Linked DNA regions of Mytilus edulis. The protein of the gene in region 1 purifies or fractionates together with the protein of each later gene. This does not show direct contact. Links are inferred from orthologs where the notes say so. Each region holds a gene or a part of one and is shown on either strand. Other genes may lie near its edges.

What was found. The genes of interacting proteins can lie anywhere in the genome.
Region 2: the proteins of UBX domain-containing protein 6-like (region 1) and tether containing UBX domain for GLUT4-like purify together in Homo sapiens (affinity purification with mass spectrometry; 4 studies listed by BioGRID and IntAct, counting the BioPlex papers as one, with this or other methods). This does not show direct contact. The link is inferred for Mytilus edulis from reciprocal best matches to the Homo sapiens genes UBXN6 and ASPSCR1.

What each region holds. Positions count from the first base shown.
Region 1 is NC_092344.1:104,270,782-104,278,729, reverse strand, and holds the start of UBX domain-containing protein 6-like, read left to right. Parts: upstream 1-4,934; 5' UTR 4,935-5,276; intron 5,277-6,928; 5' UTR 6,929-6,992; coding exon 6,993-7,242; intron 7,243-7,948. Other genes in the region: acid phosphatase type 7-like, read right to left, coding at 264-485. UniProt on the Homo sapiens protein: May negatively regulate the ATPase activity of VCP, an ATP-driven segregase that associates with different cofactors to control a wide variety of cellular processes.
Region 2 is NC_092352.1:39,217,992-39,225,999, reverse strand, and holds the start of tether containing UBX domain for GLUT4-like, read right to left. Parts: upstream 3,005-8,008; 5' UTR 2,950-3,004; coding exon 2,872-2,949; intron 1-2,871. Other genes in the region: DNA excision repair protein ERCC-6-like, read left to right, coding at 4,601-4,805, 5,028-5,127, 5,422-5,539, 7,890-8,004. UniProt on the Homo sapiens protein: Tethering protein that sequesters GLUT4-containing vesicles in the cytoplasm in the absence of insulin. Modulates the amount of GLUT4 that is available at the cell surface. Enhances VCP methylation catalyzed by VCPKMT.

The DNA.
Region 1 (7,948 bases):
GAATGGAATAAATAGCGATAAGGTGTATTACCACCCTCTTTTATACACCTTATCGCTATTTGTCCGCCATTACTGGATATCACACAGGTTCCCGTAAAATTTTGACATCATAAAACAAAATATCTGATGCCACAATGGAAAAGTGATTGTAGTTTGACGTCAAAAGTTCAAGAGGCCGGGTCAACCGGGTTTAGCGATAAGGTGTATTGGTACGGAATGACTATAAAAAAGATAACTGTATAATACAAATACTTTTGGAATACCTTTGAATTTGTGTTTCCTGTATAATATTCTGCGACTGAAGAATCATTGTTTTTAGTTGACCATAAAATAATGATGTCGGTTAATCGCTGACCAAAGCCAATGTGGATTTGCTGTGGTTCATTTATATTAGCAGCTGGTTTTGGTTTTACAAAGTTTCCCATGCAAGCAGTAACATAAACAAAAATAAAGTATATAAGCCATGTCTGTTTTGAAGAATGCATTATTCCTTAACTGAAAAATAAGAAGCACATCGAGATTGCTAGCATATTAGATATGTTCATAGTTGAATATTATTTTCTGTTCAGTGTGTTGTGCCGATATGGTACAAATAAGTAAAGTGTATGTGTAATAAACAGAATACCTTTAATATCTGTAAATCTCTGTATATCTGATGAATCAGTAGACAGCAATATAATAATACATGTGGTTAATACAGTAAACGGAAGTAGAAGAGAATCCTCGTGACGTCAGTCGTCCAGAGGTATTGTTAGGCATACTGTAAGATATGGACTGGTTCTTCTATGTATACACAAGCGGCACCACATTCGTCCCCTTCATGTAGAATCAGTCACATATTTAAACTATAAAATAAACCTAAAAAACAAGGTAAAACACTACCGAAAACATAAGTACGTTACCCTCTACATTTGCACCCCAAAGTGCAGGATGCCACTAGAAACATCCTTGAACATTCAAGCAGATTCACAAGTAGCAGAATATAAATACAATCAATTAACGTTTTTACAAATTGCAGTACCGTCCTGGTAAAAACAAATATATTTACAAAGTCCATACAATAAATGTTCCTATATAAATAAACATGCAAACGAGGCCAAAGGCCCCAGATTGCATCTCTGAGTGACTGTTATGTCCCATAGGTACATGTGCCAGGAAAACTCAACCTCACAGCGTGACAGCAGTAATGTCATGCACAAATATATATGTATTCTATCAATATTCAGGGGTGTTTTCATTCCAACTTGGCTAATAACCAGTTTCTTGCTTAAGCCAAATATCACTGTAACAGTTTCATAGCCTATCTCTGCTGGCCTTAATGTATTGTTCATCAGTGTTATTGTCGATGCATTCTTCACAATTATACTTTCATTTGGATATAACGATGTAACCCTTCCTGTCAAAACACGACTTCTAACAACATCAGACGAGGCCGTGGGCCTCTGTTCTGATATGTCATTTGTCATTTCATTTTGGCCATCAGAATTAAGGGTCGAGCGTTGACCTACCCACTCTTCCCGCTGATGTTTAAAGACTCAGCTGATGGATTAGGGCTATGCTTAACACTGCCATTGGATAACGGAGACTGTTGTCTGAGGTATCCTGAATTCTTATAGTTTGGTCCTGGTGATGGTGATCGTTGCTGTGAAGGACTATATGACCTTTGAATTTGTGGGGGTGTAATTGTTCGATATACATTGAACTTTGGGGATCTTCTAGACGCAGATTGATCTGAGGAAAGCATTACATCTGATAATTTAGACACAAGCTCTGTCAAGTTTTGTACTTCATCCTCCAATGGGCTGTGATCGACATGTACTATGTCAGTCAAGTTATTGATACTGCTAGCAAATGAAACTTGTCGATGGGCAAAATTCGGACTTCTTGACCCATATATAGCTTTTTGGTTTGCAATAGACGTTTTCATATGTTTCAATGCCTTGTTGATAGACTCTGGATTTCCTTCTATTACGTGACGGGCAGATTCCTTATCTTTGCAACCTCTGAGAAATGCCTCTGTACCGATTTGATCAATAACCGAGTTGTCACATTTATTGTATCCGTCCATGGCTATAAAATGGACACGTTCGGCAAACTCTTCCAGGGTTTCACTGTCCTGTTGCCTTAAATACTGTAACTGACGTCTTGCTGAAACTGGTTCATCCTTTCGGCTAAAACGTTGCTTAATGGCTTTTCGTAGCGCCTTGTAATCATCACTGATATTAACTTTGCGGGCATATTCTAATGCCACATCTGCTAAACAGTCTAACAGTCTGCAAACCTTCTTCCGATCCTCCCACTGTCTTCGGCCTGCAGTCCTTTCAAATTGATAAACAAATGCTTCCCAATTAAGGGATCCTCTTCCTGTAAAGACTTGCATCTTCGGAAGCTGAGGACTTCTGCTTCTGTCCCTAGCCCCAGAATTGTCATGCCATCTTGAGTACTCCCTATCAAGAGAGGAATCTGAGGAAGAGCTATGGCTTCGTTTCTGTTCCTTTTTAATGCGCGATCTTGACCTTCTTTTATCAATTTGCTTTGGTGACTGGTCTGTAGTCATCACAGGGGTCATGAACGCGAATGGGGGTTGTTGTACTATTGATTCCATATTAGCGTACATTGCTGGTCTATTCAGCACCAAGGAAGCTGCATGTGACTCGCTACTTGCAGCTGGTTTTATATGTAATGGTGTACTACTAACATGTGTACCTTGAGCTACATATGGTGTACCAACATAGGACGATGTTAAAGGAACCATTGCTGGAGTAGTATAATATGTGGGTCTATATTCTGTGTATGCTCCATCTGTGCCTTTGAATGGAGGCTGTGTTAGCATACCTGAGGTCGTCCCGTGCAGAGCAGAGGGCCCTGGCACGTTACCCTTGCTACTAGGTAGTGACAGCGAACCTTGCATGTGATAAGTTTCCTTCTCAGTACCAACACTTTCTAGCATGTCGTTGCCATGAGGCTGTGGAAACAACACTGTGTTGTGTAGTGCCGAGGGCCCTAACACATTACCTTTGGCACTTGAAAGTGGAAGTACACCTGCTTTGGATTCAGGCAGTGTAGTTGTATGGTCAATTGAACTGCTTGTTGAGAAGCCAAAAGCAGGAGGCTTATTTTGCATTAATTGTGTCCTGGCAATATATTGACTGGGTTCAACTTTTTGTTTCACTGGGGTATCCATAGGTGGGAGTTGGACTTCTTTGTTCCTCTTGGTAACCAAATCACTAACCACTGATGTCATCTCTTGAAATGATCCTGTTTGCTCAAAGGCACTCTTAAATTGGACTGTACTCGCCTCCTCCGATGGATCCATTTTGTCCAACTTTCTTGCTAAGGCATTAAACTTTTCAGATGTTAATTCTTCTAAATGCTTAGCGTTGTCATCTATCTTCCGGTCAATTCTATGTTCCGACTGTTGGACTTGCTGGGATATTGCTCCAATATTTTCTGAGCAAGTTTTCATTGCTTCCTTTTGTTCTGCTTTAAAATTCAACAAACCATTGAATATTTGGTTAATGCGTTCCTCGCTTTGTTTAACCCTGCTATCAATCTCAGCAGCTCTTTTTTCGTTTGCCTTTCTCTCTTCCTTAAATTCTTGGTAAAGCTGCTCTAATGGTATGTTGTTTTTGTGTTCAGTTAGAGTGTTGTCAGCTATTTGTTCTTTGCTTAATATCTCTACCTGTGTCAACTCATCAAGGTTTTCCTTCTGACTAAGTTCATTATCATCCCCAATTCCTGCCATTTTGTCCTTTAACTTGTTAATAGAATATCACAATTTATTCTCAAATTACAATAAAATATTTCAAATTGAAATATTCTGCAACTCAAAACAATATGATATGCACTGAGTAATTACTCAAGGCAAATAAATCTCAAAATCACAACTTTTATATGCGATTCAAGACATAAACAATGCAGCTTTTTTATAAAAGCTACTACTTTTACAATTTCAAAAATGCAGGCAACAAAATAGGGCAGAACTGGAACAGAGACTCAGCTGACACACTGTACTTTATTATACGGTGTATAAGATTTTGTTCATAAATATTTATGAGTGTATATACCTTCTTTAATATAAAATATCAGTCTAAATTCAGTGTAAAATAATGTACGAAACTAAGTTACTGAAATCAAGACCGTTTCCGGTTTGCGTCTGCGCAATGTAGTAATGCAGACAAGTGACTTCCGTGAAGAAGGACCTAATGGCTATAACCGGAAGCTCCTAGTATTATCTGATGAAAAATATCAAATATGAAGATTTCATACGTGATAAACTGTAAAAATTTGATGCAATTTAATCTACAATCAATTTGAAGTAAATTTATTGCAATGCTTACGTAATAAATTTACAAAAAAATGAAGCATCTAAAGTTTTCAAATCTGCAAAGGCGCCCTCGTGGAGTCCGCCTCACTTGCTAAAAATAATTCGTTCTTTGTCGTACGACGCCAATGTTGTGCCGATATGGTACAAATAAGTAAAGTGTATGTGTAATAAACAGAATACCTTTAATATCTGTAAATCTCTGTATATCTGATGAATCAGTAGACAGCAATATAATAATACATGTGGTTAATACAGTAAACGGAAGTAGAAGAGAATCCTCGTGACGTCAGTCGTCCAGAGGTATTGTTAGGCATACTGTAAGATATGGACTGGTTCTTCTATGTATACACAAGCGGCACCACAAGTGTTTTCATTTGTTTGTACGTCATTATTTATCCCGGAAGTCAGTGTGGATGCGGTTTTGCGCTGCATTTTCCGATTTTCCGATTGTTGTTTAACGATTGCAACCAACATATAACGGTTGAACAAGTTAAATTAAAAATGAATTGTTCAAGTATGTTCTGTTTGAAAGACATTTTCCCATTCAGAACACTTTTTATTAGAGAATTAACTTATAAAAGATCTTCCGGTTTAAAAATTCCGGATCCATTTTCCCTTGACACCGGTTTCGATTTGCAAACACTGTCACAGTCATAAATAGTTTGCTATTTGCCAGGGCCAGCAGCATAATTGTTAACAATTGTCATGTGATGAGTGACCAAACATTCTATTCATATTTTAAAGATATAGTTACGTCAGACTATATCGGTTCAGTGTTTCAGCAAGTGAAAATCGAAATTTTATCCTGGTTAAAAATTGATGTTGGAGATGTGCAAAGCACCATACTGCTCTTTTTATTAGCCTGGTTATTGGTCAACGTCATCCTTATAAAGATTGCATGGTCATTGTATGGGCAGCACATTTGTGAAAAGTTTTTGAGACAGGGTTAGTAAGTAACAAAAAAAAGAATTTCTGTAGATTCCTAATTTTATTATATCCTCTTTGCCTCAATTTTTCGCACTATTAAGAATGCATTGTGACGTAACAATTTCCATTGAAAAAGCATGCATAGTACAAATTCATATGACGTACGAAAACATATGATCTGTCCATAACATAAATGTACATACATTTTTTATTGAATTTGTTTCATTTAACCATAAAACTAAAAGGGTAGGAATGCCCTTTACAGACATCTGTCATACAGTCATTTTCTGCTACCGTTACTAAGCGTCAAATCGGAGAGGATTATTGTGATTTATAGTTAAAATCAGTATTTTTTTTTATTGTCAAAATGAAAGTACATTTTATTCTCAGGCACTAAAAAGTACCTAAAAGTCATTTGGCAAGATTTTTTACTGTTATTCGTTATGAAGCTACCCTATAACATGTTTCTGCTGGGCACAAGTGCTTGTTTCAATTGATTAATAGTTCATTGTAGACACATGTGATCTCATCTATAACATTTCAACATTATTAGACACATAACCAGTCTATCTTCACCTTCAAACTGCATCCACTAGATTACTTTTTGAAAACCAGTGCTTAGTTCATTTCCACAGTGCTATTTGAAAATTCTGCGGAGAACACTGAGATATGCAATTTTCAATATGTTAACTATAAGCTAACACTTCTGATGAAGGAGGACCTACAAGATAGAAATTTTAGGTCTACAGATCAATGCAAACTTGAGAAAAAATTGAGTATTCAGCATACAACATGTACAATGGAGAAAACATTTTCGCAGTTATTGATCACTCGAATATATATATTTAACATAAAAAAAGATGTTGTACAATGTCGTATGAGTGCCATTGAGACAGCTGTCTATCCATCACACTTAATAGCAAGCTGCAATAGGCACCAAAATGACAAGCATATATCATGTACATTGTATATATAAAACAAGAATACCAACAGTCTAATCTATAAAAAACTAGGAACAAGAAATAAAATGTACCTATGAATCACACCAACATACATGACATATATATGACAACCACTGAACAACAGGCTCCTATTAAGGGTTCTACTTTTTACCCCCAATATACCCAAACAAACAGTTTCCTCACAGTTTAATTGTTTATTCATGTTAACAATGGTTAAGCTGACCAATGTCCTGATTTAGTGAAAGATACATTGTAGAAACATTTGAAATACATGTATATATATATATATATACAAAATTAACTAAATATTGAGCCAATAACATGAAAATTGTATAATATTGAAACTTTTTATTTGAGTATATTGGGGTAATAAGTTATATTGTGATCATAAGCGGCAGACATTAACGGAACAAGTTACAAGGGAAAGAGTGATTTAAAATTAAATATATATATTCATAAAATTTAAAAAATATTTTTGTTAAATTAACATGAACAAAATAAAAGTATCACTATGTGCAATAACATTATTATTTAATCACATTATGTTGAAACTTTATTTTTTTGGGGGGGAGGGGGGTATATTGGGGGTAAAAAGTTATGCCAGGCTAAACATGCAAAAGAAATGGACTACATTTGTAAAAATCAATAAATGTTGGATTATCGTGATTATTGCAAATAATACCGTAATTTCATCATCATTATTTTAAAACAGATTTATTTGGGACTACAGTAAGGCCTGATCTTCACTTAAAAAGGGAATAAAGCCAAACACCAAGATGTCGGCCATAAAGAAGTTTTTTCAGAAGAAGAAGATGGATTTTAAGTTTAAAAAGTATGGTGAGGGACATAAATTAGATGAGCCCGCACAAAGACCCCCACCCACACACAGACCTGTACCACAACCAGGAACCAGTAGTCAACCACCAATTTCTTCCAGGGGAGATGCTGCTGTGTCAGAGGAGAAGAAACGGGCAGCAGCTGCAGCACTGGCAAGAATGGAACAGAAAGAGAAACAATCTAAACAAGGTAATGATTGGTTGGAAATTTACCTGTTAGTTTTATGATTTTAACATTCCTACATTTTGTGATTTTGTTAATATATGAAAAAGAAATAATATGGGGAACTTCAACATGGCAAATAATTTTTTGTACATGTATATGATATCAGAGAAATAAACCATTGTCATGATTATAGTTTAACCCTTTCCTCCATAACGAAGCCTTTCAATGCTTGTGTAGTACCTCAGTTGAAACGTCTTACCTACGAAAAATCTGTATCAAACTGGTGGACGTTTGGTCCCCGAGGGTATCACCAGCCCAGTAGTCAACACTTCGGTGTTGACATGAATAACAATAATGTGGTCATTTTTATCAATTTCCTGTTTACAAAACTTTGAATTTTTCGAAAATCTAAGGATTTTCTTATCCCAGGCATAGATTACCTTAGCCGTATTTGGCACAACTTTTGGGAATTTTGGATCCTCAATGCTCTTCAACTTTGTACTTCTTTGGCTTTATAAATTTTTTGATATGAGTGTCACTGATGAGTCGTATGTAGACGAAATGCGTGTCTGGTGTACTAAATTATAATCCTGGTACCTTTGATAACTATTTACACCACTGGGTCGATGCCACTGCTGGTGGTCGTTTCGTTCCCGAGGGTATCACCAGCCCAGTAGTCAACACTTCAGTGTTGACATGAATATCAATAATGTGGTCATTTTTATCAATT
Region 2 (8,008 bases), on another chromosome or scaffold:
TTTTCCCCTTTTTTGCCCCTAATTCCGAAACATTTTGAGCCATAACCCCCAAAAGTCAATACCAAACCATCCCTTCATGGTATAGAAACTTGTGGTATAATTTCAGAGAGATTCATCCACTACAAAAATGATTATTTTGGGCCCCCTTTTTGGCCCCTAATTCCTAAACTATTAAGGACCATAACCCCCAAAATCAATCCCAAGCTTCCTTTTGTGGTTATAAACATTGTGTTAAAATTTTATTGATTTCGGTAACTTAATCAAAAGTTATTATCCGGAAACAATCCGTCTTCGAAAAACGCTAACGACGACGGCGAAGACGTGATACCAATAAACGACTAAATTTTTTTTAATATTTGCGGTCGTATAAAATTCAAATGTTATTCCAGTGTGTGAAATGCGTTTTGATATGTTTTCCTTTTGTTACAGGGATCAGGATAGGCAAGAGGTACAAAAGCATGTAGACCTCCTACGACATATAAAGAGAGAGTTTCAGAAGAGCGTCAATGACCCTCATGTCATGAAGTACAGGGCTACTTGGATATGGAAACATATGGCATCACCAGGAAGAGGTTCAGGGAAGCCCAGTCGTTTTTCTTCAAGGTCACCTCTTAGTGGGCCATTGTTGAAAATGCCTGCATCCAATGCAGATCCCTCTGCCCCAACGTCTGCTCACAGAAACTTGTAGCTACTGTCGACCACTCAAAGCAGGACTATAGAAAAGTAACCCTTGTAAATGTAGTGCTTGGTTCTGATGTTCTTTGATGCCTTGATAGCCACATGTTTGCCATGGGGATAATTCCTGCGAGCTCAAAATCTGTCTGCCACTTGACACCATCCATGGTGTGCTTGGGGTCTGCATCGTCTCGCCAAGATATTCATCAATGATAGCCTGCGCAACCTTCGGAATGAACCCTGAGATGGTGTTGTGGGGACACGAAAGGAGAATATTAGGCTGCTGTAACTGTTCCCTGTGGCCATATAGCGCAGGGTCATGGACCATTGGTCAGCTTCAGTCCAGACTCAAGAGGGGTGCAGCAGCCTCACAGTCGACCCTTGATGATGCATTCGGTGTTTTCTACACTGTTAACAGGCTTAAATCAACAATAACAGGACCATATTTTGCTCTTGTTGGAGTCCGGCAAGGGGCCTATTCAGCAGGGCCAAGCATTATCGTTCTGGTGGAATAGCCATCCTCTTTATATGGCAGACGGTATATTTTTTCCAAACATTTATTCCCGCCAAGTTGTATTCTTCTAAATAAAAATAAAAATATGTTGCAAGACGAACTTACTACTGTCTTAAGACAGACAATCAATGTTTTGTGAGCATCATACAAAATTTGGTATTCGTGAGACAATTGTGTGACAGCGACTGTATCACGGTTGGCTTGCAAGGGTCTCACTAATTAGTGACAAGAAGCGTCAAGAAGAATAATTTTAGCGACAAGAAGCGACAAGAAGACTATTTAGCAACAAGAAAACATTTTTATTATTAAATATAAAGAAATATGCATTTTTTTTTTAAATATACAAGCAGAAATAAATTGATATTTTTTTATTAATAGATGAAGAAATCGAGGCACGTGTTCCTTGTTTTATTGCCACAATAACATCCAATTAACACCTTCAACTTTGTACACGCGTCAGAATATACAATCATTGTAAATAGTGAACACCTATTGAAAACTCAAGATTGTCATTAATTTCCTTTAATCTTCAATCAATATACATAAACATGATAAATATCGTGTAATGAGGCAATAAACAAAATAAAATGATGAAAAATATTCACATTTTAATTTTCTTTTCCTCTTGTTTGATTTCAGTTATTTGTATTTCACAATTTGTGTCTGTATTTTCTGAAAGTTTATTATATATATTGTACAAAGAGAGTTTTAAAAAAAAATTATAAGATAAATATATATTATTGTTTTAAAACACAAGTAAAAGCTGAGACATATGTGTATACATGGCTCTGGTAAAAGTAATATCCTAATACGACAGGGTAAACGTAATACTTGCTGTTAAACATAATAAATGATAAAATATCATGTAAATAAATGTTTTAATTTTTTTTTTATCAATATTAAATTTCTTGTCGCTAAAATTGTTTTCTTTTGCATATTCTTTTAATATTTATTCGGAATAAGTAATTTTAATAAAAAAAAAAATATTTTCTTGTCGCTTAAAATAGTTTCTTGTCGCTTCTTGTCACTAAAATAATTCTTCTTGTCGCTAATTAGTGAGACCGGCTTGCAACAGTCGTGAGATTGCTGTACGACAGTTTTGCGACAGTCTTACAATTGTTTTAATAAAATGGTTTATATTGGTACCCAGGACAATGTGTTTATCGCACAACAGTGGTAAGACTTTGGTAAGACACTCTCAAGACAGCCACAAGACAGTTGACACAACAAAAAATCGTAGATCAAAAAAGGTTCATGTCCAATTTTTGTCCCACAACACACAACAGCACCACAATGTTCAAAATATCATTCAACTGTCGAAGGACGATCACAGATTACCTACTATTTGACCAAATTGCATATGGTGGCGCTGAATAGATGTGTCATAGCTTTAGGAAAATTATGATTGTACCAACTTAGAAATATGAGAGTTGTATTTTCACTCGTTTCTGGTTGACAACGATTGATTTGGTTTTAATATACTTTCTCTTTTTTAGGAAACCATGCAGTTCGGTAATTTTGTTTTACTTTTTTACTTTTACCGGTGCGGTGTCCGAAAAAAATGTGCATGACTTGCAATTTGTAAATGACTAAATGTGTGCGTTGGAAAGACTGACATTTGAAAAAGACCACTAATTTACTATGAACATAATCAGTTTTTGAATTCTATATGGTCCTCATACCTGTAGCAACTTAGTATTTGGTGTAATTTTCACATTTTGTCGTCTTCCGTTTGGACATAGAACCTGTACAGTCGCCATTGTTGTTGTTTACAAAATGAACTTCCGGTGCTTCTATCCTTGTAAATAAATCAATTTAATTATCTATTTCAAAATTTATCAACTCTTTAAGTACAACTTCATTGCATCTAAAAAGTTTCATTTATTTTTGAGACATCGAATATTATTAGAATAGCATTATTTCAGAGTGTAATAAAATATAAAATCATGCCCCTTAGGACATGGAGATGAAGTTGTGTAATGTTTTTCAAAATGTGCTGATGTTAGTGATGGGATAAGTCTGTTTATAAAATCTCTGAGTAAATTGATTACTTTGAGATCAAATAATTGGTAATTAAGAGATTAAAGATCGGTCTTTGTAATAAAATGTTTTCATTCAGTTTAATAATTTTAACCAGTTGCAGTTTATCTTTTGTTGTTATGTTTTAGATACATTTTACTGTTAAACTTATCAGAAAATATAGGCCTATGTGTTTAAATTGTAATTAGGTGTGTCAAATAAAAGCTACACAGAACTTATGTAGAGGGATGTAAAGGTGCCGAAACATGTGAAATAAAAATCACAAAAACGTTCCACGGAAAAATATTGGAGAAAAACGAAAAAAGTACCAAAAGGTATTACTTGGCTGTTCTTGGAGATCAAACATTCATAGTTAATGGACATGAAGACCCTGTGGTTACCTCTGAGACTTAGCGTCCGATTTGAAAAGATATTATTCTAAGTAAAACAATAGGCTATTAATAAAGAGAGCAATAAATATCTTGGGACCCAGCTAATTAGTTTATTCAAAACAATGTCCAGGCTGAATTTCAATTAGTCAGGGGTTTACTTTTTAATCAATTGCGGGATAAGCACGAGAAATTAAGAATACTAACCATGCTGACACAAAACACAGAAAATAAATTAAGAAAAACATGAAAAAACAAGAAATAAAACGTCAAACAGGAAAACATGTGAAGTGAAAAGGCTGAAAGCATTGCATGAAAAATTAACCCTTTACCACCCTCTATGTAACCTGAAATGTGTGTGCACTGATCATGACTTCAAAAAAATCTTCTACGTCTAAATATTTTAACTAGCAAATAATGTAAAAAACAAAAGATACTTTTCTCTTCTATATTAAATAAATCTACTAAAACAAATACAGAAAATAAAAGAACTAGCCTGTCAATTTAAAAATCAAGGTAACTACTTTCAGTGCCATATATTAATCATTTTATAGTTCTGTTACTCATGATGAGCTGCCGCTGCTGACTGGTTTCAGGGTACCGCTTCATTATAGTTTGACAATTTATAGCAAAAAAAAAATGGCACTAAAATAAACAAAATGGGACTAAGAAATCAAGTACTAACATTCGTTTTGCATCCAAAAGCAAAATTGGAAATTCAAATAACATATACAATTTTAAGGTGTAAAAGGTTCATACTTATTAAAAAGCAATAACAGTTTAAAAAAGTTCACACATAGTAGAACTCTTCGAATATTTAAAAGATGAAATTTTGCAAAATAAAAGACACTTTTGTTCAACTTAACCTAAATTATCCTAAAATTCAAAACACTTAAACTATCAGGAGTTTTAGTTATCATAGCATCTTTTGTATCAGATAAAATGTTTATTCAGTTCATTCTTTTTTATTTTACAGATTTTATATAATATACAGATATCCAATATGGATAAGAAAATTATTTCTGGAGATTTAGATGAGCCATCAGCCATGGAGACAGATCAGCATCAAGATCCAATAGAGAAAGAGAAAGCTAAAAGCTTCCATGTCAACAGAGATTTAATACCTGTTGCACAGTTAGATGACCAAGCTTTTGATGAACTTAAAAACTTAGGACTAGATGTATTTAACCAAGAGGATTTTGAAGAAGGTATTTGCATGTAAAATCAAATTATTGCTTTATTTTTTGGCATCAAGAATGGATATTTTTTTTTCTTATATGGAACTCATAGAGATATGTTTGGTTCTTGTTTATAATTCATCAGATTGACAAAAGGATTTTGGGAAATCTTTGAAAATTGAAATACCGGTATATGAAAATGTAAGTAAATATAAATGTAGATGTTTCTGTGAATTATATTTTTTACTTCAGGTGTTATGGCACAAGTAGGAGAGGTGTTAGCAAAGGAAGAGGAAGACAGGAACAAAAAAGTTTTAGAGAAAGATCTTAGGGCTGTTGAATTTGACATAAAGTAAGTTAGCAAGACAAACAAAATGGGTAACAAGAAGTTAATCTGAATCAGTGAATGAAATTTCCATATGGTTCTAAACATTTTTTTAAACAGAAAAATTTGCACAACACTTTGTTGAATAAGACAGATTTTATGCACACAAACTGTAATAATTATATATTTATAAAGGTAATGCATCTGTGATAATACATATTCATTATAATGGATGTACAGAATATTGAAATAATATTAGCAGTACCTGAAATTTTGAAAATATGATATTTATGTATACAATTGTGTCAATTATTATTTCAGGAATGTTGAAAAAGAGTTGAAGCAGGTGACCACAGTTTTATCTTCCCTGAATACTGGCATCACATCTGCTTTTGTACAGAAAAGATTGTTAACTGTAAAGAAACAGAAGGAAAATAAGGTAGACTGTTACTGAAATACTTTTTTCTAGTTCCAATTTCCAAATCTTTCACGATAACAGGAATAACTTACAATTCTTTTTTAAAATATAAAACACACCAACCTCTAATATTTGACTTCCCCTATTAAAACTGAGTATACCATTTTTATACGACCGCAAATTTTGAAAAAATATCATGTCGGCGTCGTCGTCGTCGTCGTCGTCGTCGTCGTCGTCGTCGTCGTCCGGCGTCCGAATACTTTTAGTTTTCGCACTCTAACTTTAGTAAAAGTGAATGGAAACCTATGAAATTTTAACACAAGGTTTATGACCACAAAAGGAAGGTTTGTATTGATTTTGGGAGTTTTGGTCCCAACATTTTAGGAATTAGGGGCCAAAAAGGGCCCAAATAAGCATTTTCTTGGTTTTCGCACTATAACTTTAGTTTAAGTTAATAGAAATCTATGAAATTTTGACACAAGGTTTATGACCACAAAAGAACGGTTGGGATTGATTTTGGGAGTTTTGGTCTCAACAGTTTAGGAATTAGGGGCCAAAAAAGGGCCCAAATAAGCATTATTCTTGGTTTTCGCACAATAACATTAGTTTAAGTAAATAGAAATCAATGAAATTTAAACACAATGTTAATGACTACAAAAGGAAGGTTGGTATTGATTTTGGGAGTTTAGGTCCCAACAGTTTAGGAATTAGGGGCCAAAAAGGGACCCAAATAAGCATTTTTCTTGGTTTTTGCACCATAACGTTAGTATAAGTAAATAGAAATCTATGAAATTTAAACACAAGGTTTATGACCATAAAAGAAAGGTTGGGTTTGATTTTGGGAGTTTTGGTCCCAACATAATAAGGGGCCCAAAGGGTCCAAAATTAAACTTTTGTTTGATTTCATCAAAATTGAATAATTGGGGTTCTTTGATATGCTGAATCTAACTGTCATGACTGTGTATGTAGATTCTTAACTTTTGGTCCCGTTTTCAAATTGGTCTACATTAAGGTCCAAAGGGTCCAAAATTAAACTTAGTTTGATTTTGACAAAAAATGAATCAGTTAGGTTCTTTGATATGCTGAATCTAAAAATGTACTTAGATTCTTGATTATTGGCCCAGTTTTCAAGTTGGTCCAAATCGGGGTCCAAAATTAAACTTTGTTTGATTTCATCAAAAATTGAATAAATGGGGTTCTTTGATATACCAAATCTAACTGTGTATGTAGATTCTTCATTTTTGGTCCTGTTTTCAAATTGGTCTACACTAAAGTCCAAAGGGTCCAAAATTAAACTTAGTCTGATTTTAACAAAAATTGAAATCTTGAAGTTCTTTGATATGCTGAATCCAAAAATGTACTTAGATTTTTTATTATGGGCCCAGTTTTCAAGTTGGTCCAAATCAGGATCTAAAATTATTATATTAAGTATTGTGCAATAGCAAGTCTTTTCAATTGCACAGTATTGCGCAATGGCAAGAAATATCTAATTGCACAAATATTGTGAAATAGCAAATTTTTTTTTTAATTAGAGTTATCTTTCTTTGTCCAGAATAGTAAGCAAGAAATATCTAATTGCAAAATATTGTGCAATAGCAAGATTTTTTTTTAATTGGAGTTATCTTTCTTTGTCCAGAATCAACTTAAATCTTTGTTATATACAATATACAATGTATATTCACTTTTTACTACCAACTGATAAATTAAAATAATCTTTACCATTCAGTGATAACAAGCAGTTTTTTTACATCTTAATATTTTATGATGTATTTAAATGAGTAGTTATTGTTGCAAACTCCATTAGAAATTTTAATTGAGATTAGTTTTGGAATAAGGGAAAGGGGGATGTGATTAAAAAAAATGGGTTCAATTTTTCTCATTTGAAATTTCATAAATAAAAATGAAAATTTCTTCAAACATTTTTTTGAGAGGATTAATATTCAACAGCATAGTGAATTGCTCTAAGAGAAACAAAAATTTTAAGTTCATTAGAACACATTCATTCTGTGTCAGAAACCTATGCTGTGTCAACTATTTAATCACAATCCAAATTTAGAGCTGAATCCAGCTTGAATGTTGTGTCCATACTTGCCCTAACCGTTCAGGGTTCAACCTCTGCGGTCGTATAAAGCTACGCCCTGCGAAGCATCTGGTTTCATGTTATTGTAAAAGTGTAAATGAACTTTTCACAATTGAAACAATTAAACTACATTCCTTTTGTGTTTGCTATATTTTATATTCTTTGTGATGCAGAAAATTTAAATAATTTTCTATCTTATTAAATGCTAGAATTTGGTTGACTGAGGTATAGAATTAGAACAATTGTGCATTCTTAACTCTTTAGAAAAAAATCAAATTCGTTTTGTTTCAGTCAAACCAATTGATGACCTTGAAAGCAAAAGAGAAATCTTTGAAGAAAAAGCTTGGACTCAATATTGAGGAATCTGATGAAGAGAAGGAAGGGGAAATAACTGATGAAAAACCTGGTTT